Schizosaccharomyces pombe: one gene and its partners. The gene in region 1 interacts genetically with each later gene. Each region holds a gene or a part of one and is shown on either strand. Other genes may lie near its edges.

Region 1 (6,980 bases):
AACGAACGTTGTCCTCAGCAGGCATGAAATCGGATGCGCGAAATTCTTCTTCTTCATTAACGAAGCTTTCCAATTCCTCATCATCTGTCGTCCACTTGGTAACCGCGAGTACGGCTTCCCTCGTTTTGGCGAGAGAACGTTTCTCTGGACTCACACAAAGGCATGCTCGCAAGACGTTATATGTATCTTGACTCAACGTAGGGAAAACGTCAAATAAGGTCATTGCGTCCAACATGTAATCAGCAAATATAGGATCCTTTTCGTGTGGATAGGTAAAAGGATTACGTGCAAAAATTAAGTTTAAAAGGCAAATACCAAGAGCCCATATATCCGCTGCACGAGGGCTGTAACCAGCACCATCAACTTCCTCAAACTGTTCAGGAGCCATGTAACGGTCACTGCCAGTTCCAAAGTCATAAGATATTTTGTCCCTGCAAGCAAGTCCAAAATCACTGATCTTGACCACAAGCTCAGATCCATCTTCTGAAAGAGAAAGAAGAAAGTTTTCTGGCTTTAAGTCACGATGGTAGATACCATGAGAATGCAAATGTGCAACACCATCAATGATTTGAAGAAAAATATTCTTAATCATTTCAGGTTGGTTCTTTGCATTTGGAAAATCATTATTCAAGATGCACTCGTATAAATCACCAAGAGGGCAATATTCGAGCACGACATAATAGTATACATTGTCTTCAAAAGATTCAACGAAATGAATGATGTTGCGGTGTCGAGACCGCGATAGCTGGCGCAAGATATTGACTTCTTGCAAAAAGGTATAAGCAGGTTTTTTGATGCACTTAATGGCATACTTCAAATCCTTGCAACGGGGAGTCCGAAAAAGACGATGGGCTAATACTACAGTGCCATACGATCCCTTATTCAGAGGGCGCTCAACTTTATAACCTTTCTTTTGAAGCAGCTTCATAATCACACACACTTTCGATTCCGAACTTTTCTTCTTTAATCAAAGTTTGAGAGGTCGAGCAGATGATAACTTAATGTCGGTCGAATGATACCTAAAATTCACAGTTTTCTTAAATTCTCCTTTAATAGACTCAAACAGGTCGTTCTTTGAAAGTTGAACAAATAATATAGATATGAATATAAATACAGAAATATATATATACTCTATTTGTTCTTCACAGTACACACCTGGGGAAGAAGAGGAAAGATAGTAAGAAAACAAAAACAAATTCCAGTAAACACTCAATCTCTAGAAAGCCAACACCTGTACAAGAAACAGGTTTCAAAAAGAGATTGGCGGAATACTTCGGCAACGAAATAACCTAGTAGAGGGAAGAAAAGTCGGCCTGGCTGTTCGAAGAGGATGGCGGGTATGAAAACAGTGGTTTCGCGTTGAATACTTTGGGAGAATTAGAATTTCGTAGCAATTCACTTAGATCGTGTGTGTATTAATATTTTGTTAAGCAAATTTTCTCATGTTGAACCCAGAAATGTAGCAGAAAACAGAACCTTGGTTGGTTGTTGTTGGTAGAGGGTAAAGTTATCCGCCCCCCCTGAGGAGTTCTTTTTAGTGCTGATGTTCCTTTGATTGCGATAGAGAATTTAACGAAATTTAGTGGAATATAGCACAATTATGTCGAGATAGTAGATGAGTTGGTAAGGAAGATTCGTGATCAATTTATCCCGTTCTGACTTCTTCTTCCTTATTCTATGATAACGTGACTGTGTAGTGCATTATTTCTCCTTAAACTTGTGCGTGATAAATAAATAAATATAAAATAGAACAAGTCGTATATACTAATTTATAGACACATATGCTATCGTCTACAATCTATTTTCATTTTTACTAATTGTTTTAATTATTTTTTCTCATCTTATTGAATTCTTTTCTCGTTTCTATCTTCGTTTCACCGATCGTTTTAGATGCACAAGTAACCACTGTTAACTAGAATAGCAAAGTAGATAGATGAACGATGGAAAATGTTCGATAATGAGAAAGATATAAGCCTCGAATATGAACTAATTATTTCGTACATTTTAATGAAATGATCTTAAAATTGCCTAACAATTTGCTTTTTGTTTGATCATTATGTTGCTTGGTTTAAGGAAGCTGCCATAGCAATTAAATATCAAGAGATATATAGGCCCTTGAATAGAAGTACGAGATTGGAAGGGATCATAGAAGCTTCCTTTGAGTTAAAACTCTGATTTATTAATTTTCTCCGCTTCGGTATGTGAATCGTCAACGGTGTCTAGAAGGTAATCAATGGTAGACTGCTACCGGATAAATAAATAGTGAAGTATCTGTAGTATTGGTTCTACAATTCGCATATGAAACGAAATATACCGTTACTTGATGCTTTATTATTATTTGTTTTATTCTAGTATTAGTTAAGCTGGGAACGGCTTGCTGTGGTTGATAGATAAACATTGTTGGGAAATTTCCATTTTATTAAATTATTAGTATCCCCAGGCAAAAAAAAAAAAAAATTGGTTTATTTAGACTTGGACTCTTTTTACATTTAAAGCGTAGAAACAAAAGAAGAAGAAAAAAACAATTAATATAAACGATAGCATTACGTTAGATGGGTTGCTGAACAAAAAAAAAAAAACACAAAAAACTACAAAATAAAGTAAAAAAAGAAATAATGGTAAAAATCAGAAAAAATAAATTAATTTATATAAAAATACGGAATATTATTAAAGAAATCAATTAAAAAACAGGAAGTTATTTTAAATAGACTTCCATTCAAAAATATCCCTTTTCTATATTTTTGTAATTCATCACCCTTGGCTATCGAGCTAATGAAGATAATACCAACCCTGGATACGTATATCAATGGTGAAGAGTGTGTAATAATTGAGTTCGAAGTTCCATGAAAGAACTACATTATGCCATACTTTATCACGTCTTATCGTATTTCTTTAGGATTCCACTTATTTCACTTCAAGTGGGAGAGCTCTTCAAGCAACTTAGGTATTCGTTACGTCCAAAAACTAAACATTTAACGGCATATCCCGTCAATCTCCTTAATTGTTTTTTAAAGATCGCTTTCTTATGAATTGTGATTTTAGCAATACAATAAAACCAAACACGCCATACAAAAATGTCCACAAACCTCACCTTACTTACTTGTGAGCACTCTCATCTTAACCAAGCATCCGAACTATAAGCAGGCAGTCCAAATCCTCGTTAAACACATATTGTACGTATTAACGAATACGAAAATATTACACCATATTGTGCTGTTTCATTCAGAAATCGGTTTTTCCGTCTCTAATCGTGCCATACGCTATTGTAAATTTGCGCGAAACAAAGCGTCGCTACTCTGAGAGCATAGAGGGAAACTTTTGTCACCCTCAACATGCTAAAGAATACTGGTTGAACAGTTTACTTCCAACCACACGCGTGTAGCAGAAAATTTGAAAAAATGAGTGATCAAGATGCCTTAGATACCCAAGAAAAGGTAGGAATTCAGACTGTGTAGTATGGTGGAATTATTTGCTTACATGATTAGGAACTATTGGAAATGAAAGAGCGAGTTGCTGAAATGGAAGCAGAGGCTGCAAAGCTTCGTGCCATGCAAGAACAACTAGATAATGAAACGGAAGCTTTGAGAAACGATAAGGAATCCATTGATGCTCAAAGTGTCTATGTTGGAAATGTTGATTACAGTGTTACTCCAGAGGAGTTGCAAAGTCATTTTGCTAGTTGTGGATCTGTTAATCGCGTTACCATTTTGTGTGACAAGTTTACGGGACATCCAAAAGGGTATGAATCGAACTTGTGGATGACGTTGGAATGTACAGCTAACCTAGTTTCGTAGATTTGCATACATCGAGTTCAGTGAACCAAGCTTAGTGCCTAATGCTCTTTTATTAAATGGATCGATGTTGCATGAACGACCTTTAAAGGTATGTAAAACAATCACAGTAACTACCAGCAACATGCATTCTAACTTGAAATGTAGGTTACACCCAAGCGGACAAACGTTCCTGGTATGAGCCGTGGTCGTGGTCGCGGACGTGGACGTGGACGGGGTCGTGGCAGAGGAGGATATCGTGGAAGAGCCCGTGGTTTCGCTCCGTATTAGGTAATCGCTTTGATGACTTGAAAAAGTGAAAAATGAATTATGAGCATTCAAATCGTCACCAATAACAGTTAGGTGGGAAAAGATTAGAAATGACATTTAACAGTATGTTGGAAATTAACTAGTATTTCTTTCAACTCATTCGTTAAATGTTTATATTCCTTGTTTATTCTTTTGTGTTGGATTACACGGGTTTCCTTTAAAGTCATGATCCCATTCACTATATTAAAACATATATGCTGACATAATGTAATTCACCGACCCTTCAATTCCTCTTGGGTATGGACTAGTTGATTGCATTTTTGTGTTTACAATGCCAGCTTCATAAAATTTTGTTGTATATTGTCGTTTTTATGCTTCTGATGCACGTTCATAATCTTCAAAATTTTCTTTTTTTTGTTTTTGAAAATTTATTTGCTCAGCTTAATTTCTCGTCATAATCTTGATCCGCTTGATTAGAAAAGGGGTCAGAAAAGGAAGCTACTCTATACACCGTATCACATATTACAGTCATCTCCTTCCTTTCTTGATTAATAAAACTAAACACCTACCAATGTATAATTTCATTATATATATATTTTTGTAATGAGGAGATACTTCTCTGTGTTCACCATTACATTTTGTGTTTAATATAGTGAAACACATTAACGTTCTTCTCTTCTCCTTTGGAGAGTTTAATGCTGAGGATCTTCTTATATTTCTAATAAATTTCTTGATTCTGTTTAATGATTTTATATAGAAAATGTATGACTTTCTTTTCTAAGTCTACAAGTTCATTTTTATATGTAATAATTGTGAGGAAATTAATTTTTAGTCATCATGATGTAAAATGACATTTAACAAAAAAAGCTTGGTGTATATCTAATTAAGTAGTTTTTACATAGTCGATTTTTATGTTCATATATTGTACATGTCGAGTCAATTTCTTTTAGCTACCTGCGGCATATTCCGGATTCCAGTACAAATAATTTCCTTCCTGCCTTTTACCCAACTCGTATAGGGAAGCGATAAATAAAAGTAACAAGGATAATCAAGTCAGTCGTTTCTACGCTGTGCCACTCAGATTCGATGACCTTTGTTTACTCTTTCGATTTGCCAAATATTAGCTGAGCGGATATTCGCTGAACTTGCGAGTTACACCTATTGATCCACTATTTAGCCAACCAACAGGTATTTACACTAGGATATTCCAGAGAGCATTCGAGCATTCGAGCATTCGTCTGTCGATTTATAAAAAGAGCCAATTTAGATCGTATATCGGTTTACTACTTCTACAACGAAAAAGATAAATTGGTCGATTTCCTCAACACTCTCTTTGCCTTTTTAAATTACATATAAAGTTGCTGTTTAGCCAGCGAACGCTTAGTATCTTTAAACGCATTTCCCTAGCAAAACAAGAATATCGTTGCGTAGTGAACTACAGCGTTCTTCATACTACCACCAAACTCCCCCACCTTCCTACTGGCTCGGAACCCCCGCTTCAATATTGAAACCTTTTGTGGTATACGTATCCGCTTTTACCATTTACCACAATCGCTTACATATTGAAGGTTTCGTGAAGTTTCGCGACTTTCACCTCTCCGCTTAGAGGAATCCAAGTAATTATATGTTAAGAACATGGAACAAGGAGCGAAAAGAGTCCGGTTCTACATAGTAGCTGCTGATGGATTAAGTAAACGGGATCTTTTTCGACAGCCCGATCCCTTTGCTATTTTAACGGTAGATGGCGAGCAAACTCATACAACGAAAGTTATTAAAAAATCGGTGAACCCTTATTGGAATGAAGGATTTGAAGTGTAAGCACATGACAAATGCGGCGGATAACATGATCAATTGAAAATAAAAAAAAAAGAGATGGTAGAGATTGGACCTTGGATGTTCTTAGATTTGGATAGATATGTTTATACTCTTAGTATTCACGTTAGTTCGGAGTCTAAGCATTTCTTTGATGGTCGGATAGTTTTTGTGGCTCCATAACGAAATTTTTTTAACAATTTTCTAATAACAACATCATTTGTATATTATCATATCCTATCCTTTTTGCAAATCTTTTATTACTACTGCATCTTTTTCTTTTTTTTTTTTCAATATGTTGATTTTGCCCTTTTCTTTGTTCCGTTATACTAACTAAATTCTAGAACTGTTAAGCCATCTAGCGTTATATCCATACGCCTTTTTGATCAGAAAAAGTTCAAAAAGAAAGATCAAGGCTTCCTTGGCTTAGTATCCTTTCGTATGCGTGAAGTTGGTAGTTTTCGATCAAATCGCGAAGTGTCGCTTACTCGACCATTGAAAAAATCTTCCACCACTAATCTTTCCGTTTTGGGAAATCTCGTATTGAAGGTGGCCCCGTCTAAAATTAGGGCTCCCGCCGGAAATCACTCATCTACTACAGCCAATCGCACTACTAGTACACCTACAACCACAACTGCACGTACTACTCGTACTACTCCCCGTCCGACTGCCACAACTAATACCTCGAATCAGTCCACTTCGAATTCGACTCGGAATGGCACTTCTGCTGCAACTTCAAATGGGACTGGTACTGGCGCTGGTACTGGCGCAAGTCATCGTTCTAGTCCTGTAACCAATCGCCAGACTAACAATACTAGTGCTCTTTCGAATTCGAATGCACATATCATGTCATCGTTTGAAGACCAATATGGACGTCTTCCTCCAGGTTGGGAACGCCGTGCTGACTCTCTAGGTCGCACTTATTATGTTGATCATAATACGCGCACTACCACCTGGACTCGTCCGGCTAGCAGTACAAATCCTGTACATAATACGTCGAGTGATAGCCAAAGACTTAATCATCAGAACAGACATTTACCTGATGACTCTAATCCATCTTTAATGCAATCAGATTCCGGAAACGACCTTCCTTTCGGCTGGGAAATGCGATACACAGATACAGGCCGC
Region 2 (6,267 bases), on another chromosome or scaffold:
CCAATGAACCAGTGGAACAAGAAACTGAAAACTCTTCTACTAAAGATTTACAAGTATACGATTTTCAGACCGCTTCAGAGCATTTACCTGAACAATCCTTACAAAACACCACTTATTATGATCCGTCAAAAACTTATAGCTCGGTGAATTTTGAAGAAATTGAATATGGAAAGTCTCATGAGAAATTAGATTTACCTTATAGAACTACTGATTTTATTCCCTATTCTAAAGACTTGTCAACTAGTCCTGAGGCTCACAGGACTAGTATTTATTCGTATAGTGCTAATTTGCCCAATTATTATAATGAGCATAATGAATTACATGAACATCATAATCCCCAGACACCCAGTTCCCCGGAATCTGCGTATAGTCCTGAAAATTTGCAACTTAATCATGAAGCACAAAATGTTGAATATTTGGGTAACAATGCTGCCGAGAAATCGTTGCAAATGAACTTAGAGGATGAACAAAGATTTCAACAATTTTTGAAAGATGAAGAAAGTATAATGTCAAACTGGTATCCAGGGCAATTTCCTTCAGCTTCTCGCTTATTTTTGGGTCATCTAAATACAAAGAGCTTATCTAAACGAAATTTGTGGAAAGTTTTTAAAATTTATGGGCCTTTAGCACAGATAGTTTTAAAAGCAAATTATGGTTTCGTTCAGTTTTTTACAAACGAAGATTGTGCTAGGGCTTTAAATGCGGAACAAGGCAATTTTGTTCGGGGTCAAAAGCTGCATTTGGAAATTTCTAAAATTCAGAAGAAATATCAAAATCAAATAGAAAACATGAAGAAAGGATCACATGTTACCAAAAGTAATCAATATTCTGAAATGATTGGAAACCTTCCTTATCCCACTAGTAGCAGGTAAGGAATTATCGTTGCTGCAATTAATTTCGCAAAACATCGCAATTTTGTTTGTTTTTTTAGCCTTGCTAACGTAATACAGAAAACGCACGCGATCTCCTTTAATGTCGAAGGGTAAATCCTACGATAGAAAGGGATCTATATCCATGTCTAAAAACTTCAGCCCTGATTGTGAAATACTAGTCACGGAAGACTGTCCAAAGGAATTTGTATGGGGAGTGGAAAAAGTCTTTCAGGAGCGTCGATTGAATATACATACCACTTGTTTGTACCGTGACTCAAACTTACAAGTCATTATTAAAAGCTGTATTATTAACAGCGTTAAATCCATTATCTTGATAAACGCCGGTTTGGCTCACCTAGGGAAGGTGTCGGTTCAAGTGTTTAAAGACGGATCTAGCGATTCAGAAGTCCGTTGTGATGGTACGTTGAATAAAGATATATGTGTTTTGACAGAACTCTAACTTTGTCTTTATAGAATATGCTGCTGTGGACGTGATGGTTGCTGCAAGTATTGTTCACCACGCAAAGACTTCTCTCATGCACTCAGCTGCTTCTAGTACGCCATCGTATAATGGTGAGCGTATTGTGCCTGACGTGCCATCTCCCTGTATATCAACGAATCCTAATCTACCAGCTTTAGTAGGTTCTTTAGATTCTGTTAATCTTCACCATTTATTAGGATTCATTCAAAATACCTATAGCACTACTTCATACATTCCAACTAGAGTTAGTTTTAATCCTAATGATACCGGAGGATCATTTGGAACAATTACATCTCAGTCCCAATTTGTTGTGAATGAGATGCCTAAAAATTATGCTCGTGATAATTACGAAGCATTGCATTCTCAAGAAAGCCGCCAAAGGTCTTCAGTTGCTGGAAACAAGCAACTTCAAAAGATATTAGAGCAGCTCGCAGAGCTCAAGCAACCTGATTTTTGATATCTGACCTTAGAAAAGGTTTATATATATTATTTGTTAACAAGTGTTTTAGGTAGCACTTTGTTAATATGGTTTTGCGATATATATGTCCTTGTCTTCAATATTTATTTCACTTTTTTCTCAGTTATTCTTGAAGCATTTATATGTAAAAACCAACAGACAAGTAATTTTTCTTGCTGCACGGACTATCAACTGTTCATTTGTATTTTTTTCGATGCATACAAAAAATGGTAATAAATCGTTAGGAAGAAAGTTTCGATACTTGATTTTTACTGATTAAGAGATTTAGCGAGTAAAAATTAATAACAACGACATATTTTTATTATTAATTTGATGATCATGAATGTCAAATGTCCTTTTAATATTTTACTACTTAGGTAAACGTGCAGTTTAATTGATCTGATAACAGCGATGCACTGCTACGCAACGCCGACTAGTACGTTGTAAGCTTAGTAAGTAAGTAAGTAGTAACTTTTATATTATAATCTTTTCATTACTAGTAATACAAGTGCCTCCCAATCTGAAGTTGCAATTAAGGAACTTTATTTAAAGTATATTATCAGGTTAATTTTTTTAATTAGAAATAACAACCGCTGGTCGGTCTGAATATCAAGGTGCTTTTAAAGGATTCTCTAAAATAGGAAGTTTTGAAGGATCCTCGTTTTATTTTGTGCCTCCACTTCAAATACGGAGGCAACTACAATTGCTTGAAAGGAAATTATCAAGTTATCAATACTTCTAATAATGTCTTCCTCTCCTCCAGCTTTAAAGAAATTTCGAAAACGCAGCCCAAAATCATGTTTAATTTGTAGGCGCCGCAAGGTCAAATGCGACCGTCAGCAGCCTTGCTCTCGATGTAAAGAAAGGAACGAGGTTTGCACTTACGCAGATGATACCATTGATAAAATGAACGTCGGACCACATCCTAGTCATAGCGAAAATGCTTCTGATTCTGAAACCACACTGGAAGTTTCTCCCGATATTAATCCGAAAAAAAATGAGAAATTTGATTTTTATGGATGGAGATCACTCTTTGAGTTGATTAAATATAGAAAGGATAGCGACATGTGCTCATCTCGACCTTCGTTTTCAATTCAGGCTTACAGTAGCTATAAAGATAATGTGGTTGTTGAGAGTTTGGCGAACCTTTTACCGCCATTTTGCATATCACAGAAAATTGTTAATTTATTTTTTAAAACACTAAATGTTGTCTGTCCTATTTATGATCAAGAGACAGTAGAAAAAAGCTTAAACAACATTGAATCACCAGAATCTTTTTCGTACGAAGATGCCTTCACTTTATTACCAATTATTGCTGCAACTATCCAGCTGAGCGATTTGCCTGATGTTATTCTCAATTTTTATAATTCGGCGGGGATTACTCCATTGGAATCCAGCCGTCTTATAAATTTAAAACTTAACGAGATATCCGAGCAGGAATATAAACATTTATGCTTGCCTGATAAAGAAATAATTCAGATGCTGCTTTTGCGAGCGTATGCAACAAAATTTCGCACAAGAATAAGAGGAGTGAATACTGACTTATGTAGAAGCATTCACGTATCAACCTTAGTAACTCCCCTCTTCCAAGTTACGGAAAAAATAGGAAAAAATACGTCAGATTTGTGGTTTGCTCTCTGTGAAATTGATGGTTTGGAATGTGTATTAAAGTACCGTCCGCCATTCATTCAACACGACACTTATGGTCGTCTCAAGCCGCTTCGTTGTTTTTTTAATGACGATATTAGCTACAATTTTCATCTACTTCTTGGAAGGTTACTTGATTGTGGTGTTTCAATCTATAAATCTGTTCATTCACTCACCGTTAGTAAATTCATTGATAAACTGGAGAGTTATGAATCACAGCTTTCGCTTATTTTGGTAGATATAGAAGCAAAGTTTTATGACCCTTCTAATGAAGATATTCAATTTCGATACATATTTTTGAAAATGGTGTTCTGGACTGCACGTGTGAATTTGTATCAATGTTTTATTACCCTGGATTCAGGGATTTTAGAAGATGAAGAAACTATTATTGGTAATTTGGGTGAAAGTTGTATTCAGTGCGTGAGGCTACTCATATCTCAAATCACTATATTAGAAAAACGAGGCTGGCTTTTGGTAGCGTTGTTGGAGATTATCCACGCCCTCATGTTGGCTGCGTTTTGCCGTGATAAAGGCTTTGAGGTGCCTTCTGACTTAGGTGACATAACATTATATGTACAAGAAAGAATGGTTGATATCGTAACATTTGATGATGGCATGGCTGTCCGATTTGGATATGTTTTAAGATTCATCAACAGTATGTTACACCCAAATGAACCGCCTATGCAAGATGCAGAACCTGAAACCACGGAGGATCCCTCTAAATTATTCGCTGACATTTTTGATTTTACTTCAAATTACTTTATACCGTCCGCCCTTCTTGATCAGTGACCTAAACGAGCACTTTGTAATTTTTTTGTTTGTATGATTGATTAAATTTCGATTAATGTTCCAAAGTGGTTCTAATGTCAAATTTATCTGCTCTTTTAATGACTCTCGTTTTTTAATGTAACTATTTTTGGTTCAATATAGACCATTTAGGAATTAACTTTCTTACTATCCTTCTATAAAGTTGTCTTTCAAATACAATTTTTTCAACAAAACTGCCTTTTCCAAACAGAATATGTTTAACTAAAATATGTGATTTCAAGTAATTAAAAAACGTTTAAAAAGTTTAGTGATATAAAACTCTCGCTAGTACTTTCAAATGAAAATGCATTACGCTGCGCAATGGTTCTATACAGGTTATGGTTGGTAAATTGGATGAATAGATTTTGCAACAATTATCAATTACATGTGTATAACCAAAATATTCTGCCTATTTAGACTGTGTAGTTCAGACTTGGTTAGATTTGGTAATTAGGGAATAATACGCATTTCCAAATTTGTAACATTACTATACCTATTACCTTTGACACTCAGTTACCTGTTCAAAACAACCGCCCCTTTTTCTGTTGCATAGAGAATGAGTTCTTCGTATGTACTGAAGTATAATACTTTTTAAAAAAATAACTAATATGAATAGAAATCCACGGGGAATTCCACCCGCTCAATTTTTTGAGTTCAAAGAGTTATCTATGGAGGAAGCTCAAGGTCATCTCGAAAAGTTCCAAGAAGCAATTGCGTAAGGATATATATGTTATTTCATATTAATATAATGTAATTTAGAAAGTACAAATTCATGGAGACTAGTGTGGTCAGGAGAGTTGCTAGTTTGGATGACAAAATTCCTGACATTCGAAAAACGTTACAGAGTGTTCAGTTCTTGAAAGAGCGACAAGGTGACTCTTTTACTGTTACATATGAACTAAATGACACATTAAATGCAAAAGCAGAAGTAGAAGCTAAAGACAATGTCTACCTTTGGTTAGGTGCAAATGTTATGCTTGAGTATACGGTTGAAGAGGCAGAAGCATTGTTAACGCAGAAGCTGAACTCAGCGGAAGAAACATTGAAAGCATGTAAAGAAGATTTGGAATTTTTGAGAGCTCAAGTCACTACAATGGAAGTGAATACAGCTCGCGTGTATAACTATACAGTTTTGCTTAGGAAAAAAACAAAAATGTAGTTAGTCAAAGCTGCTTAATTTCTTTATAAATGTTTCCAAAATATATTATCATTTTAACACATTTGCTTATCCTTAATGTCTCTTTAGTGTGTGTAACAAATGATAGAAAAAACTATATTATTATAACAATATTCTTATTTTAGAAACGTATAACCAACATTTGTATAAAAACGCTTTACAGAATAAAAAAGGATTACATTAATGCTCCGTTCTGGATTTTCGTGCAAACAAGCAATAAACTAAATGAATAAAACAAGCCTTCTCACACACATTTCAAACCAAATTTAAAATTATGTCAAACGATTTAAATCACAACAAATAAGGAAAATGAAATTCTAAATGTGTTCCTTTCACAACAGTTGACAGTGTAAGAAGCTGGATAAAAGAGTTCTTTATTAACGGAAATGATAAAAAAACGACAAATACCTATACATCACACTGGAAGATACCCGGCCTAATCGCTGTTAAGAGTTTCGAAAAGGAAGTGGAGACCAAAAGCGGTATTAATACCAAAATAGCTTCCTTCAAAATTAGTGATACAAATTAATTTTACAAATTGTAAAGAATGACTCAATGGATGTCAGATTAACAGTTAAAAAACACAATGAACAACATCATTCCAATACCACTATGAATCAAACCGATTCTAGTCAATGTATCATGTAGCTTTTGGAAATATATTCTTAAAGCACGTTGATTTAAGGAAGATGACTTGCATCAAAGATGGAGGAAGTGGTACTGGCAGGACGATCAATCAAATCAGCAGCAGGACTAGGTAACGGCTCAGGTGATGATGAACCCACGGACCATTCATGATCGGTGTTAGCAAGTTCCATATTGTTAA
Region 3 (10,664 bases), on another chromosome or scaffold:
ATATAACTAAGTACTCTGCTTACGCTTTCCTCGTTTCCGCTCTCAAGAGGAAGGAAATTGACCATATTAAAGTCATCAATCTAGTCATTAGCAGAAGCTCGAGGAATTATGATTCTGTGACTTACCAGTTGAACAATGCACCGATTAAGTTCGTGAAACTTTGGGTTTGTTGTTTCGTTAATTTCACCTGTGAGCAAGAGTGGATCTGTATTGAGAAACCTTTTTAATTCCGCTTTTGTAATGTTATTGTTGTCTTTGAGTAAATCCATTTTGCTCAATAAGTTAATATGCGGGACTTCCATCATAACCATTGCGCTCATTGCGCTTAAAACACCCGCAAAGAACTTTGTACGGTCAACGAGAAATTGGCTTTCTAACAGGTAGACAGCACAAGGACGAAAGTTTAGGGTTACTTGAAGATGGCGAATTAATGCTGGTAAAATTGGTACGTGAGTATACAATTCAATTTGTCCAGGCATATCGAAAATTAAATAGTCTTCGTCGTAATCGCCAATTTCTTCATTTAACCAATCTAAGTTTTCCATCAAAAATTCGAAACAATAAATTAACCCACCATTAGGGCCGTAGTCCAGCTCTTCCATAACATCATCAATGGATATTAAGTCTCTAATATCAACAGTTGGTTCCCATTCGAAGTTTTCTGCAGCAGGATCTAAATTAACTAAATGGCAAGAACGTCCAACGCTTTTCATATAAGACATTAATGCTCCACAAAACGTACTTTTACCACTGCTGGCAACACCACAAACAAAAGCTGCCACCTTAACCATTTTTCTAAAAAGACTAACGTCTTTTGAAACGTCGTGTTCTTTTATCCTATGCCTTCTTACCTGTGCCCGTATGCACCCTTATAACTCGCCATGCGATGCCCTAAGTATTTTACTGACTTTTAACAACAAATACTTTAACTGTGAATAACACGCTCTGTTTAAATCTTTAAGTCTTGCAGAATTTACGTTAAACGTCACTAAAAACATTCATTTTTTTGAATACCCCCTAATATAAGTACGATGTCAATATAGCTTTTTCTACTTCTTGTATAAAATTAGTTTAATTTCTCTTGATACAGCTTAACTCACTCCATATTTCAACTCAGTCATAAGTTGTTTAGCAACGGCTATAGCATCGCTTGTAAATTAACTCACTTTGAAGTCTGTTATTCTCAAGACCTGTTTACAACAATATAGTAAATGTATTCTAAACTGACCACAGTCTAACGTATCTCTATTATCAATTAGATATTACGTAGTTGATAATACAGTGAAACAACGAGTCCCCCACATATAGACTCGACCACCACACCCGTTTGTAGTGAACAGTGAGTGTAACTCTACACGCTGGCTTAAACCACAACCCCAATTTTAAGGGGAGTTATTCATAAATGTGAAGATGTCTGCACCTCCATGGCAAACTTCAGAGTACGATGAAACTGAGGGATTCACGTCTAATCAGGAAGGGCCGTCAGCAGCTCCTTCCAAGACTGTGGCCTCTGACTGGCATGAAGTGAAGACAGAAGATTCTCGAGTTTATTACTACAACTCAGTAACGCGCAAAAGTGTTTGGGAAAAACCAGAGGAGTTAATGAATGACTTTGAAAAAAAGCTTTCGAAACTAGCTTGGAAAGAATATGCCACCGCTGATGGCAAAAAGTATTGGTATAATGTCAATACCCGTGAATCAGTGTGGGATATTCCTGATGAATATAAAGCTGCCCTTGTTGATGAACCGGAACAGCAAAAAAAGGCTTTGTCGTCTAAAATCAAAAGCAATGACAACAAGCCAGCTGTTCAAAGCATTCAACGGCATGGTCCGGATGTTGCTGCTCCTTCAAGTCAACCAGCTAAAGATCAAAGCCAACAAATTTCACAAGGCAGTCATAAACGAACTATAAACTTTGTTCAACAAAAGGATAAGCGCCAAAAACGTTCTAATGATTATCAGCACGAAAACTATGATACCTATGAAGCCGCAGAGCGCGCTTTCTTTAAATTTTTAGACTCTCATAATGTCAACCCAAGCTGGACTTGGGAGCAGACTGTCCGAGAGCTTTGTGATGCTAAGGGCTATTATGTCATGAAGGATCCTTGGCATCGGAAATGTGCTTTCGATGCGTACATCTTAAACTATTTGACCGATCAAAGTGATGCAGAAAAGAACCGAGTAACTAAGATTAGGAAGGAGTTTATTGAGATGCTAAAAAGTAGTGATAAAATTCATTCTTATACTTTGTGGCGTACTGTGAAGAATGAATTTTCTTCTCATCCTGCTTTTAACGCTACTTCTTCTGAAACTGAACAACAACAACTATTTTTTGAATATAAGCAAAAGCTTTTAGAGGATGAAAAGCAGTTGGAAAAGGATCGCAGAAAGGAAGCATTGGATGATTTTTGTTCGCTTTTGCGAAACATGAATTTCGAGCCTTACACCCGCTGGAGCGTTGCGCAAGCAAAATTTGATCAAGATCCAAGGTATACAAGGAATTCAAATATGAAATATCTTTCTAAATTAGATGCTCTTGTAGCATTTGAAGATCATGTTAAGCATTTGGAACGCGAATATATTCTTGACAAACAAAAGCAGAAGAAAGAAAAGCATCGTATAGAAAGGAAAAATCGTGATGCCTTTCGTGCGCTATTACAAGACTTACGCGTGCAAAAGAAGATTACATTACGCACGAAGTGGAAAGAATTATATCCCATAATCAAGGATGATCCAAGATATCTTAACTTACTAGGGCAATCTGGCTCTACACCATTAGATTTATTTTGGGATACGATCGTTGATTTGGAGAATATGTATCGGGAAAAGCGTAATTTGGTTTTGGACTGTCTTGAAGTATTGCAAATATCTGTGGATGACACATCTAATATTCCTGAAATTATAGCAAGGTTATCAGAAAAGCTTAAAGATCGAGAGGAAAGTGAGGCAGTAACTGAAGACCTTATTGAAGAAGTTGTTAATCGATTACGTGATAAAGCGATCCACAAAAAAGCTGAGGAAAAGCGTGCTGATGAACGACGCATTCGAAGGAAAATTGATAATCTCAGAAGTGCCATTAAATACCTTAAACCTCCAATTTCTGCCGATGCTTCTTACGATGAAATTAGACCTTTAATTTCTATTCTACCGGAATTTGCTGCGCTCCATTCCGAGGAACACAGGATGGCTGCTTTTGACAAATATATAAGACGGCTTCGAGAAAAACGGGAATTGGAAAAGCAATACCAAAACAGAAGAGGTTATTATGATGTCGGTAAAGATGAAAGTTATTTAGCGAATAGTGCCCGACCACATAGCGGATACGAAGATGGAAGGTTGGAATATTCTGCTGACTTAGCGTCAAAAAGTAATAGGAATGAAATTAATACGATGCAGGATGTACAGGAAAATTCAATCTCTCATGTTACCGCTACACAACCGGCTGTTAAAAATATTGTTGATGATGCAGAATCTAGTGAAGAAGGTGAAATTCGTTAGTATTCAAGTTAGAAATTTAATTGTTAGTGCGTTTAATACACATGCATTTTAATGTTCTCTCAACTCGCTTTTTGTATTCATACAGTTTGATTACCTTTAGTAGCGGATACAGCCTGTAGCTATTTGAACCTCTACCACCAGTACCTCAAAAATTGTTTTTGTAACAAAACTAGCAAGTTGCTATTAAAATAGCAAAATACTGCTATAAGCGTTCTATTTAATAACGCGTAAGTAAATTTTTATTAAATTTTGTTGCAGCCACAGTTCGTTTTCCGAATTTGACGCTGAATATGTGAATGATCCACGTGTCGCATTTTTTTGTTAAACCTACATTGTTCAATGCACTGAATGTAGCTCTCTTTTTTTAAAAACCTTCTTTCTTATTATGTTTTGCTTGTTTCTCTTGTGATACAATCTTTTTGGTGGCATTCGACCTTTTATTCAAAATTGCTCTTTCTTCGAAAATGAACGATATAGTGCTTCCTATCGAAAAGATACGGGAGTTAATATGTGTTCTTTATTTAAATCTGTTCGGATCTCGTCTAAATATAGTCGTTAGTCAAGAGTTATAAATATTCACATTTAAAGTGGCATCTGGCAGTTCTCAGTTAACTAGAAGTTGGATGGAAGCCTATTACATATTTCACAATTATTCAGCATTTCAATTTCGGAAAAGTTTTGCAATAAGAAATTTGCGAAATTGGTTCTAACTTCTGTTTTAGTTGATATGAGTACAAGTGCTATAGCACTTGCTTTGTCATCATCTAAGGCTATTGAGCAGCTGGATCACGTTCAAACTGAAACCCCTAATCTTAAGCAGGAAATGTCCGAATCCCCTTCGAATAGCGGCGTAGCCTCCAAGCGCAAATTACAATCTACTGAATGGCTCGACCCAGAGCTTTACGGTCTTCGACGTTCTGTATGTCTCACATTATTTTATTCATTATGAAACTTACTTAGATGCTAATCATTATAGGGTCGCACTCGTAGTAATCCAGGAAGATATGTAGACACTGATGATCAAGAAGATGTGTTCCCATCCAAGCATCGTAAAGGTACTAGAAATGGTTCATCTTTTTCTCGTCATCGAACAATTCGCGATTTAGACGATGAAGCTGAATCTGTCACCTCTGAGGAAAGTGAGTCAGATGATAGTTCTTATGGCGGAACTCCCAAAAAGCGATCTCGGCAAAAAAAATCAAACACCTACGTTCAAGATGAAATTCGATTTTCTTCTAGAAATAGTAAAGGTGTTAACTATAACGAAGACGCGTATTTTGAATCGTTTGAAGAAGAAGAGGAAGAAGAGATGTATGAGTACGCAACTGAAGTTTCTGAAGAACCTGAAGATACACGAGCTATAGATGTCGTTTTAGATCATAGACTTATTGAAGGACACGATGGCTCTACACCTTCTGAAGATTATGAGTTTTTAATTAAATGGGTTAATTTTTCTCATCTTCATTGTACATGGGAACCTTACAATAACATTTCTATGATCAGAGGATCTAAAAAGGTCGACAATCACATTAAGCAAGTCATACTTCTTGATCGAGAAATTCGAGAAGATCCGACCACTACGCGTGAAGACATTGAAGCAATGGATATTGAAAAAGAGAGAAAGCGTGAAAATTACGAGGAATATAAGCAGGTAGACAGAATTGTTGCCAAACACTTAAACTCCGATGGCTCAGTTGAATACTTAGTGAAATGGAAGCAGCTGTTATATGATTTTTGCACATGGGAAGCTTCCTCAATTATTGAGCCTATTGCTGCCACGGAAATTCAGGCATTTCAAGAAAGAGAAGAAAGTGCTCTTAGTCCATCAAGAGGTACAAACTATGGTAATTCGCGTCCTAAGTATCGAAAACTGGAGCAACAGCCTTCGTATATAACCGGTGGTGAGCTTCGTGACTTTCAGCTTACAGGCGTCAACTGGATGGCATATCTTTGGCATAAAAATGAAAATGGGATTTTGGCCGATGAAATGGGTCTCGGTAAGACAGTCCAAACTGTGGCTTTTCTTTCATATCTTGCACATTCTTTAAGACAGCATGGACCTTTTCTTGTAGTTGTTCCACTTTCTACAGTTCCTGCCTGGCAAGAGACATTAGCTCTTTGGGCTTCTGATATGAATTGTATAAGTTACCTTGGAAATACCACCTCAAGGCAAGTAATAAGGGATTACGAATTTTATGTTGATGGAACTCAGAAAATAAAGTTCAACTTGCTTCTAACTACTTATGAGTATGTACTCAAAGATCGCTCGGTGCTTAGTAATATAAAATGGCAATATATGGCAATTGACGAAGCTCATCGATTAAAAAACAGTGAATCGTCACTTTATGAAGCACTTTCTCAGTTCAAGAACTCAAATCGATTACTTATAACTGGAACACCATTACAAAATAATATTCGTGAGCTTGCGGCTTTGGTAGACTTCCTGATGCCAGGAAAGTTTGAGATTCGTGAGGAAATTAATTTAGAAGCACCAGATGAGGAGCAGGAAGCTTATATTAGAAGTTTACAGGAGCATTTACAACCCTACATTTTACGAAGATTAAAGAAAGACGTTGAGAAATCTCTTCCTTCTAAGTCTGAACGTATCCTTCGTGTTGAGCTTTCTGACTTACAAATGTACTGGTACAAAAATATTTTAACTCGCAATTACCGTGTCCTTACTCAAAGCATAAGTTCGGGAAGTCAAATATCTTTACTAAACATAGTTGTGGAGTTGAAAAAGGCAAGTAATCATCCTTACTTATTTGACGGAGTAGAAGAGTCATGGATGCAAAAAATAAACTCTCAAGGAAGACGAGATGAAGTCTTAAAAGGTTTAATTATGAACAGCGGGAAAATGGTGTTACTTGACAAACTTCTATCACGTCTTCGTCGAGACGGCCACCGCGTTTTAATTTTTAGTCAAATGGTTCGTATGCTTGACATTCTTGGTGATTATCTTTCTTTGAGGGGATATCCACATCAGAGACTGGATGGCACTGTCCCTGCTGCTGTACGAAGAACTTCAATAGATCATTTTAATGCACCAAACAGCCCAGATTTTGTGTTTTTATTATCCACACGAGCTGGAGGATTAGGTATTAATTTAATGACTGCTGATACAGTTATTATTTTTGATTCCGATTGGAACCCTCAAGCTGATTTACAAGCTATGGCACGTGCGCATCGCATTGGTCAGAAAAATCATGTTATGGTATACAGGCTTCTTTCCAAAGATACGATTGAAGAAGATGTCTTGGAACGTGCACGTCGTAAAATGATTCTTGAATATGCAATTATTTCATTAGGTGTTACAGACAAGCAAAAGAATTCCAAAAATGATAAATTTTCTGCTGAAGAGCTTAGCGCTATTTTGAAATTTGGAGCTTCTAATATGTTTAAAGCAGAGAATAATCAAAAGAAGCTTGAGGATATGAATTTAGATGAAATTTTGGAACATGCCGAAGATCATGATACTTCCAATGATGTGGGTGGAGCCAGCATGGGTGGTGAAGAGTTTTTGAAACAGTTCGAAGTTACAGACTATAAGGCAGATGTATCTTGGGATGATATTATACCCCTAACTGAACGTGAGAAGTTTGAAGAGGAAGACCGCTTAAGAGAAGAGGAAGAAGCGCTTAAGCAAGAAATTGAGCTTAGTAGTAGACGAGGTAATCGTCCTTATCCTAGCTCTGCGGTGGAATCCCCATCCTACTCTGGAACTTCTGAAAGGAAGAGCAAAAAGCAAATGCTTAAAGATGAGGTTTTACTGGAAAAGGAAATTCGGTTGCTTTATCGTGCTATGATTAGATATGGAAGCCTTGAGCATCGCTACAATGACATTGTTAAATATGCTGATCTTACTACGCAAGATGCTCACGTAATAAAAAAGATTGCAGCTGACTTAGTAACCGCTTCACGCAAGGCTGTATCAGCAGCCGAGAAGGACTTATCTAATGATCAGTCTAATAATAAGTCATCTCGTAAAGCGCTGCTCATTACATTTAAAGGTGTAAAAAATATAAATGCTGAAACATTGGTACAAAGGCTAAATGATCTTGATATTCTTTATGATGCTATGCCAACGTCAGGATATTCTAACTTCCAAATTCCAATGCACGTTAGATCTGTTCACGGCTGGTCCTGTCAGTGGGGACCCCGAGAAGATTCCATGTTGCTTTCTGGAATTTGTAAGCATGGATTTGGAGCTTGGTTAGAAATTCGAGATGATCCAGAACTCAAAATGAAAGACAAGATCTTTTTAGAAGACACAAAACAAACAGACAACTCTGTCCCCAAAGATAAAGAAAATAAAGAGAAAAAGGTACCTTCAGCTGTGCATTTGGTTCGTCGAGGTGAATACCTACTTAGTGCTTTACGTGAGCATCACCAAAATTTTGGCATAAAATCAAGCCCCGCTATTAGTACTAATGGAAAAACTCAACCTAAGAAGCAGACGGCTAATCGCAGACAAAGTGGCAAGCCTAACGTTAAATCTGCGCAAAAAATAGAGAGTGCAACTAGGACACCATCGCCTGCAATTTCAGAATCTCGTAAGAAACCTTCTTCTAAAGACACGAAGATTGAAACACCTAGTAGGGAACAGTCTCGCAGCCAGACAGCTTCACCCGTCAAATCTGAAAAAGACGATGGTAATGTAAGTCTAAATGCTGAACAAAAGGCACGCTGCAAAGAACTGATGTATCCAGTCCGTAAGCATATGAAAAGACTTCGGAAAGATTCTAGTGGGCTTGGACGCGCGGAGTTGGTGAAGTTACTTACTGAGTGTTTGACAACGATTGGAAAGCATATTGAAAAAACTGTCAATGATACACCCTCCGAAGAAAAAGCTACTGTTAGGAAGAATTTATGGATGTTTGCATGTTACTTTTGGCCGAAGGAGGAGGTTAAATATACCAGCTTGATCAGCATGTATGAAAAGATGAAGTAGATTTTAGCCTGTCATACAAAAGCCAATTTGTTTCTTCATTTTTCATCCGGAATATTTTAGGTTTGAAGCTCGAATATGTTTATCTTTTACAGTCTTCAATTTTGATTGCTACATTTCAAAGATCACTAAATTCTAGTCTAAAAATCGTTTCTTATTGTACCTTTAATTATAATGTTAATAAACCCTGCATTTCAAATCTTGACTTTAGGAAATCCTCCGGTATTCAGAACATAGAGTCAGCATAGATAAGAATAATCCAGTAATACAATTTGTTTTTAATTGAAATATCAATGGCAAACTGCTATTTATTAGTCTGCAACTTTATGCAGTTTGTAAATATAATAGTGTAACTCAGTAGACATCGTTACCAGTGAAAAGTTCATTCAAACATCACAGTACGGCAGGGTTCACCTTTCACACCAAATCACGTTTATAAATTAGAATGTCTCGTGCGGCCTTACCAAGCTTAGAAAGTACGTTACAAATTATTTAGAGTGGCTTTCGAGTACTATTTATTCGATATGCTAATGTCTATGATTTTTTCGTTGGCCTAAAGACGTTTACTAACATAATGCTTAGACCTTGAGGATGATGATGAGTTTGAAGATTTCGCAACAGAAAGTAAGTACTTTTAAAGAAATAATTATTTAACATCAAAAAGATTGGCCTATGAAAGATACAGAGCTTGATACTGGAGATGATACGCTATGGGAAAACAATTGGGACGATGAGGACATTGGAGACGATGATTTTTCTGTTCAATTACAAGCAGAGTTAAAAAAGAAGGGTGTTGCCGCCAATTAAGATATTGCTTCTGCCAGAGTGTATATCTCCGAAACTGCCTTCATCCCTCAGTATAATTTTAATGCATTAACAAAACGATCGAATACAGGTTCTTTCATGACTCTAAGGTTTTGCTGGTTCTGTAAATACGGTGCAGATAGATATTCTTGTGTTGAAGATTTTTACGTTTAAAGAACTTCAACTTGTCCATATCTGTAAATTAGGTCTATGATACTTATATACGCCTGAATTGATTATATTCTAACAATTACCGGCGAAACGGTACTGCCTGTATATGCGAAATGAAGATAAGCTAGAAAATGTAAAACCTATTTGCATTACTATAGACAATAGCAACCCATGATTGTTCAAATGATGATCATTTCAAATGGTCAAAAGAAGAGACGCGTAGTTAATATGTAAAGGAATTTAAACAAAAACATTGAAGTGTATGAGGCAAAGATGAAGGTGCCTGGGAAAATGAAACGCAATTGTCATGAACTTAATTTCTTAGAAGATTCTTAATCGTAATTATCAGCATCTCCTTGTTCTAAGGCTTCTTCCATCAACTTGAAAGTAGCGCGGATAGGCAAGCCTACAACATTGGAAAAGTCACCTATGATAGACTCAATCAATAAGGCGCCGTGACCCTAAACTTAGTCAGCAAAGTCATGCGTAAAAATTTAAAAAAAACAAAAAATGCTATAATTCATTATTTGAAAGCACGCACGGTTCAGGCACTTCCATCACCCTAAAAACAGCCAAAAACATACCTGTATAGCATAGCCTCCGGCTTTATCTGAACCTTCGCCACAACGAACATAAGCTTCGAGAAATTCGTCAGTTATGGAAGGGTCAAACTTCACCTGAGTTTCTTCAAGGTGTGTTTTCATAACATAACCTGGATGAATAGGCACTTCCATAGGCACAATAACACTGACAGCAGTAAATACTTTATGGGGTGTTTTAGAATTTCTGAGCTTTTTCAGCATGGCAAGGTGATGCTTGGGATCGTTGGGCTTCTCCATAATCTCAGAATCCAAAATCAATATAGTATCGGCGGATACAACTATGTCTGGTGAATCTTCTTCGGCGGCCTAAGTAGAAAAAATGCGTTAATATAGAAAAACAAGACAACTTTAGAGACTTCAGTGTGAAACTCTCTGTAAAGAAAAATTTAAATTAAACATCCATACCAGTTTCTCATAAACTGCAATCGCTTTCTGTACCGAAGTGTCAGCAGCATATTCCCAAGGAGTTATGTACATAGATTTATTTAAATCTTCGGGGAATCCGGAAACGCAGGTTTCAACATTAGGAAATCCCTATTTTAAATCAACATTAGTTTACGAACACGACCAAACGAATGAAATTAAGAGACGAACTCCAAAACTTCTAAGTAACACAAAACAGAGAATCATAAATAAGAATA
Region 4 (6,684 bases), 820 kb from region 1:
TAAAGATGTTAAGCATGATCACGATCCAGAATTTGCTAATTCATTTAATAAAATGTTGAAAAGCTTTGAAGCAAAAATGCAATTGGTTCACGAAAAGTTGGCTAAACGATTTCAAGAGGCAGTTGTTTTACCGAGTCAAGGAAATTTCACTCAACTAGAAGCACTTTTCATACCATCCAAAAGCATAAAAGCTCCTACTCCTAGTCGTCTGCTTCGAGAAATTGCAGCTGTTAGTCAGAAAGGTTCTCAGCAAATTATTATTCGTCCATTTGAAGACGTTGACATAAAAAACATCCTAAAAGCAATTGAAGATAGCAGATACCCGTTTGTAGCTAATAAGCTGAATGCATCAACAATTGAGGTGAAGCCACAACGAACCACTTTAGAAAGTCGGCAGCAGTTGGCCAAAGTATTAGAAGGATACGCAAAAGATAGTCGAGAACAGCTGTCTGCAATGCGAACTGAATTAAAAAAAGAGATTGCAAAAAATAAGAAAAGTAAAGCTTGGACGTCCGATGATTGTTATAAAGCAGAAGCGGAAATGCAAACAGCTTTTAAAAATGCCATCAATTTGCTTGATAGCGGTTTGAAATCAGCTTTGAAAAAGGTAATATAATCTCAATTACGCCAGATTTAATATCTCTTTGTGATGTATATTCATTTCATAGTAATTTTATAAACACGACTACATTATGTTTTCGATATACCGAACAAAATTGTTGAGTAAACTCAATTAGAGGTAGCTAAAATGAATGTGAATCTATTATTTACCGAGAAAACAGTTATTGCCTGAATTGGAGGTGCCTATGTAATGTATAAAATAAAATAAAAAAAATAAGTGAAAACTCCTAAGTCAAAAAATAGCAACAAAATGACTGAAAGTGCAGTCTGATAATAAACAATGATCACAATAAATATTACAAACGGCATGTAAAGCGGGGTTCAACTTACCAAGACAATTGAAATGAACCGGAAAACGTCTATAAGTTTATCACAATTTATTGGAGGAAAATAACACCAAAGGCTCAAGCAGTACGCTGTATCCTACAAAACAAATAGCCTCGTCTAGTCGTATATATAAATCTTAACAATAAGGCGACAACAAAAAAGTCAAGAGCATATTTTTGAGAGAACCGATCAGATATGATTAAAGTCGTAATTTTTGCCATGCTCTACTCTAGGACTTTACCGCTGCGAACTTCCTTTCCAGTTTTTTTAATCGTTTGTTCTACGAGCTCATATGGTTTGTCTGTGGTAACGATAACCTCTTGTTTTTCGACCGAAATGGATTTGTCTTCAACACCTACTCGACATTACTTAATTAGTACACAGATTCATCAACAAAATTCCTGAAAAACCATATATAACAAATACTTATATAAATGTAAATCTAAATACTTAAAAAATGACTTTTTTTAAAACGCACCCAGACGAGTTAAAACGCGATCGATGGCATTTTTGCAGCCATCACAAGCCATAGCAACGTTAAATTGGTACTTCATTATCAGATGATCAAAAATTCAACGAGATTTGGACAAGAAACTGTTAATTAACTTTTTTGTAACACAAATAAAAACAGTATTTAAAATTCAAGAAAATCCCAATTTTAAGAATTACTTTAGATGAGAAGGAGGGAAACGATAAGTTGGAAAATCCATTAGTAAAAGCATTTAGACGTAATGCAAGGAGGTATCCTTAAAAAAATAACGAGAGAGATATATTTGCTATAGATGTGTGTCAGTAATAATGCACTAAGCTATGATACACTATGTTGTGTATCACTATTTGTCATTACTTTGAATACTATTTAAATTCGCTTTTGAAACATGCATGAAGGAATTTCCATTTATTAACAAGTATGTAAGCTAACAAAACAAATTCAAAGAAAAAATTTAATAAAGTTTGCGCCTAAAATTGCTTCCTTACTTCAATGACTAGTTACTAACAAATTTCTAATAAAAATAATTATAATATTACTTACTCATACATATTGCATCCGCTTTTTGTAGATTGCAAACAAAACACACCGTAGTTTTACATATCATTAAATAGTATACCGAGATACGTAGCTGATGGTTGTATCCTTTAACGAAACCATAAAAATCGTTATAAGGGTTTTATGAGGTATAGAAATGTTGTCGTTAGTTTAATTGATTCAGTAAACAAGAGCAATGCAAGCAGTGGTAATGGATGTTTCATAACGATGTCAAACACTGAGAAATTAACAATAAAAAGAAGGTGAAAGAAAATAAAAAGGATCCCGGCTCATTGACGACTTTCAGATGATTTTGCTAACTCTTCACATTCTTTACAATACCAGATCCCCTTCGGTGGTTCTACTAGACCAACGCAAGGTAAATGGAACCATTCTCTTTTACAATTTTCGTTATCACATCCAATCATTTGTCCATAGGAAACTTGTTGACAGTAACAGTAAAGTTGCTCACCTTCACGGCTGATATCACTTGAATCTAATGTGTCGTGTTTGACAAGTGGTTCCCCATTTGTCTGTTTTAAACGAGATTCTGATCTCCGCACTGGTCGCCTCTCCGTAGATTGCGGCGCATGCTTTGTACTCGATAATGGAGGTGATGATGATTTTCTAGGAACAGCATTTTTTCGACGCTTTGTAGGGGTGTGATAAGAAGATTGCGGCGATGAAGCGTCTTCAAAGTTGTTATATGAAGACGACCGTTCCTGAGAGGAATATTGCTGGGAATGCTGGTTATTTTGATGCCGACGGGTTTCCCGTCTCCTTTCAGAAGTTTGAGGAGTCACAGTAGAATGATAATTCATTAAAGCTCGATCGTCTGGATATCCCAATCTCAATTGTTGGGGAATCTCCAATTCAACATATTCAAACCCAGCATCCAAACGGTCGATACAACTCTTGATATTATTCATTGCGTCTGTGGCCAAACAAATCTTTGAATCAGAATATGGAAGTATCTCTTTTAGTGTCTTTTGTAATCGCTCACATCTTTCTTCTCCTGACAATTCGTCATTTTTCTCGTTTTTTAGAACCACACCAATTTCCTGTATGACATTTTGACGGATATCTAAGATTTTGTTAACCACACGTTTTAAAAATATATATTTCACTTACCTCGTACTTGTGCATCGATCTCTTTCAAACTCGTGAATTTTCCACATACTGATTCAGGGACTGAAACAATGGCTGTAAAATGTTAATCAATGTGTTTATTTTCGCCTCTTACCATCTGTGAAATCATTTAAAGCTGCAAATATTTCAATTCCACTCGTCCCCATGATATTGACACTAAGCACGTTACGTTGTGCTGAGTAGGAAATGTATGTCCCACCTACTTCTCTCACTTTACTACATCCCTACGTGAAATAGCAAAATTGTATGTTTAATCTATTGATAGAAAGAAGTGATTCTATTATAAGCGACGCGTTTTAATGTACCAGAATTCTAGTATAATTTCAGCACTGCTTTGAACTGTAATTTTTAACGACATTATGTTAGTTCAGGTAATATGAGCCTTCTTGTTTAACCATACATTTCCAAATAATCAATTTATTTTAGATATCGGTTCTACTACTCAGTTAGTTGCACCTTCATTATAATAGCAAATTTTGGATGTCCGAAATATTTTTCCTTTTCACAACCTTCAGTGAATTCCAGATAATTGAGAAGTACATATTAAAATTCTTACCCAAAATAGACCGAGATTTACTATATCTTAAAGCTCAATACATTCTTATTTTTCCATTCTTCTCATTTGACTTACATACGATAGTGTATATACCAATATCAAACATTAACTCAACACGCGTAATCTCAAAATTTTGCAAGTTGGATTTACTATGTATAGCTATTAATGAAAATAATGATAGGCGTAAATAGTATGGTTTATTAAATAACGGAAGCTTTCTCTTTTTTTTTTTCGAACATTCATGTGCTATTTTCCTTCCCTAAGTCTAGGGCCATAGCTTAGTATTGTACATATTAAAAATTGGAACAACCGTTCCGCGTATTAGCCTAATTATTGAATTAATTCCCGATATTGTCCGTTTCATGTTCCTGTGGCTTGTTCCTCGGACGCGTCAGCGTGCCATTTTAATATATACCAGCCCTCCCATTTCTATGTAAATATACCACACGACTATTCCTTACACACATTATGAATTCTCTACGTTCAGTAAAACGGCTTTTAGGTGCTCGCTCTTTGAGCTCTGATGGGCTCTCTGAAAGCGTTAATTCTTCTGATCGAGAGGATAGCTTGAGCTTTCAGACTCCTTCAACCCCTTCTGAAGATGAAATGCCACAATGTTTTGAAGATTTAATCAAGCCTCAAGTTCTTTCTTCAGAGGCCTCAAAGAGTTTACTTTCCCTTAATGAAGGAATTAAAATGGAAATCGTGTCCAGTTTACAGCAAAAAGACCAGAAAAAGCGAAATAAATTAATTGCTTGGATGCGTAAAAAACCATGTTACGAGCAACCTGACGACTTTATTTCGTATATTGTAAATACAAAAATTGACTCAATCGATGAATCTATCATACACAAATTAGCTCTACTTCTCAGAAACGAGCAAGTAATGTATGTTTACATTTTGTGCAGCTACGTGAATCAAAGTGGTGATGCTTAAATTATCTTTTTTTTTGGCACTACTATTGTTTTGATTGAATGATAAATCATTCGTTTATTTTGAGGTTTTTCATACTAACTGCAATACAGATGGGTAGAGAAGTTTATACACAACGGCGGTTTCGGTGTAGTATTTTGTACAATCGACAAAATCTCTCGCCTTGAATGGAGAGAGGAACTGCACGATTCTATACTGGAGCAACTTTTACTTTGCGTTAAAGCCATGTGCACTGTTCAGGTATGCATGTGATATACATTTAGACCTATGTCTTCATTGCCTTTGACAATTGCTAACGTTTTTCCTAGCGCGGATTGGAATGTTTATCTCAATCCACTTATAATGTCGAGCGATTGATTTCCCTTTTGCTTTCAAAGAAACAGCCATGTGATTTTGTCGTAAGGGAAGTACTCGTTCAAATAGTTCACTCCTTTTACAAAGCTCATCTCGACAAAGAAGAAGGTGCAATGCAAGTTTTTTCCTTGTTTTCTATTAAAGACGATAAGGATGAAGAGGTTGAATTCTTAAAAAACGTTCGAGTTGATCGACCTTTTCGCCGTTGGATTATCGAACTTGAAGATGTTAGCCGTAATGTCTTCTGGGTGTGGAACCACGATTCTAATGTCATTGATTTGGAGAAACAATATAATCAAGTGTACGAGGCTCCATTGGGGTTTATTGGTGGTATAGAAACCGAAGCCACCAGCTATGTTGCAGCTCACATCCATCTTATTAATGAATTACTCGAAGGCTTACCTTTAGAGAAACGTCAAAGAAAACGTTTGGAACTCCAGCTAAGTGGATTAGAAAGAATCATGGGGTTACGGTTTCGAAAGAGCAGGTAAGCAATTTTTTTCAATATTTATATAAGCAGGCACTTACAAATCTAGTCAAAAATTCCATAAGAAGCTACATGAAGCCCTTCGTGAATGGATAGTGGCTGCTAAAATTGATGATTGGCCATACAAACTTGTGCAAACTGGATCAACCTAACTTTACCCTAATTTTCTATGCACTACAATCATCCTATGTATATAAAAGACACTAAACACCTTAATCATTTATCAAAATACGTCTTGTCATCTACTTTACCTAACCCAATATTGGAATACTCATCGTACATTATATATTAATCGCTTAATTTTTATTTATCAATTATGGGCAATAATAAAGGTAAATCCAGAAAAGTCGAGACTTTCGTCATTTACCAATTGCAATGCCCAAGAAACATTTTCTTTATTAAAATGCTTGGATTCCCCAAATACGTTTGTAAATTGTTGAAAAAACATTTCATCCAAGATTTCAAAGACTTCAACACCTTCTGGATTAGCAACGGCTGGATACCCTTCCACAAGCATACTAATTGAGAAAGGTAATTTTTCAGAAATAGATAAACAATATACACAAATCAATATCATTAAAATATCCTGCTCATCTGTAGCGACCAATGCTTCAGCATCGGTTGAACCATAGAGACTCTCAATGGCATGCGAAAGTGGTGCAAACAAAGGATGTTGCAAGAGGAAAATAGATATCGAATTAAGGATGAGATATTGCAAAAGGTTTGGAAGAGGTTTGTAAGTTTTTTGGAGTGATTCTTCCATATAATTTTTGACATAAGTGATGGAGTCTTGAAGAATATTAATCTGACTATCGCGATAAATTTTGGCCCAAACCTGCCTTTCAGAGGTCGGAGATACTTGCGGATTTGATTTTAACAAAAGGTCAGCTCTAGAGTCGATGTACATAAGTAAAACTTCCAAGGACTTAATCTGGCCTCGTAAAGAAGGGACATAAGAAGCTAGATCACCCGTCAACAAATGCGCTGTCAATTTTCGAAGTTCAAGAGAAGAGGCAGTTACAACTGCTAAACATTGAAGAATCTTTTGAAAAATTTCCTTATCTGGGGACTTTGGCAAAAAAAATACTAAATTGCTCAACTGAAATTGGCAATCATTCTCAAGAATGGCAGCTTTTTGATCTTTATGCGGTAAATCTGGATGAATAGCTACTTTTAAAGTCACTGTATCAAATGGGTTATCAGGTAAGCAAAACCCATAGCCCATTAGTA

Evidence for each region.
Region 2: mutations in pab2 (region 1) and pfd3 together harm fitness more than expected from each alone (negative genetic interaction), as found in Schizosaccharomyces pombe (2 studies listed by BioGRID).
Region 3: mutations in pab2 (region 1) and hrp3 together harm fitness less than expected from each alone (positive genetic interaction), as found in Schizosaccharomyces pombe (2 studies listed by BioGRID).
Region 4: mutations in pab2 (region 1) and png2 together harm fitness more than expected from each alone (negative genetic interaction), as found in Schizosaccharomyces pombe (2 studies listed by BioGRID).

The regions. Positions count from the first base shown.
Region 1 is NC_003423.3:1,937,175-1,944,154, reverse strand, and holds pab2 (poly(A)-binding protein Pab2), read left to right. Parts: upstream 1-3,366; 5' UTR 3,367-3,398; coding exon 3,399-3,434; exon of another isoform or gene 3,435-3,485; coding exon 3,486-3,739; exon of another isoform or gene 3,740-3,794; coding exon 3,795-3,882; exon of another isoform or gene 3,883-3,938; coding exon 3,939-4,061; 3' UTR 4,062-4,784; downstream 4,785-6,980. Other genes in the region: serine/threonine protein kinase Ksp1, read right to left, coding at 1-928; HECT-type ubiquitin-protein ligase Pub3, read left to right, coding at 5,676-5,854, 6,197-6,980.
Region 2 is NC_003424.3:600,039-606,305, reverse strand, and holds pfd3 (prefoldin subunit Pfd3), read left to right. Parts: upstream 1-4,787; 5' UTR 4,788-4,820; coding exon 4,821-4,831; exon of another isoform or gene 4,832-4,880; coding exon 4,881-4,979; intron 4,980-5,023; coding exon 5,024-5,423; 3' UTR 5,424-5,480; downstream 5,481-6,267. Other genes in the region: poly(A)-binding protein Nab3, read left to right, coding at 1-868, 951-1,291, 1,347-1,810; SPOM_SPAC3H8.08C (transcription factor), read left to right, coding at 2,555-4,246; inositol phosphorylceramide synthase Aur1, read right to left, coding at 6,122-6,267.
Region 3 is NC_003424.3:5,374,202-5,384,865, forward strand, and holds hrp3 (CHD family chromatin remodeller Hrp3), read left to right. Parts: upstream 1-3,622; 5' UTR 3,623-3,725; exon of another isoform or gene 3,726-4,214; intron 4,215-4,220; 5' UTR 4,221-4,225; coding exon 4,226-4,417; intron 4,418-4,474; coding exon 4,475-8,449; 3' UTR 8,450-8,712; downstream 8,713-10,664. Other genes in the region: GTPase Fet5, read right to left, coding at 1-80, 126-791; U1 snRNP-associated protein Prp40, read left to right, coding at 1,411-3,498; proteasome receptor/ubiquitin ligase adaptor Dss1, read left to right, coding at 8,892-8,922, 9,029-9,070, 9,111-9,253; Maf-like protein Ifs1, read right to left, coding at 9,754-9,882, 10,006-10,329, 10,429-10,557.
Region 4 is NC_003423.3:1,118,680-1,125,363, forward strand, and holds png2 (chromatin modification family protein Png2), read right to left. Parts: upstream 3,283-6,684; 5' UTR 3,271-3,282; coding exon 3,219-3,270; exon of another isoform or gene 3,179-3,218; coding exon 3,107-3,178; exon of another isoform or gene 3,060-3,106; coding exon 2,266-3,059; 3' UTR 1,982-2,265; intron 1,926-1,981; 3' UTR 1,903-1,925; downstream 1-1,902. Other genes in the region: translation termination factor Rrf1, read left to right, coding at 1-616; Cu chaperone Atx1, read right to left, coding at 1,173-1,303, 1,427-1,502; GTPase-binding protein Rid1, read left to right, coding at 4,149-4,567, 4,706-4,853, 4,922-5,454, 5,504-5,606; ribosomal lysine methyltransferase Set10, read right to left, coding at 5,765-6,684.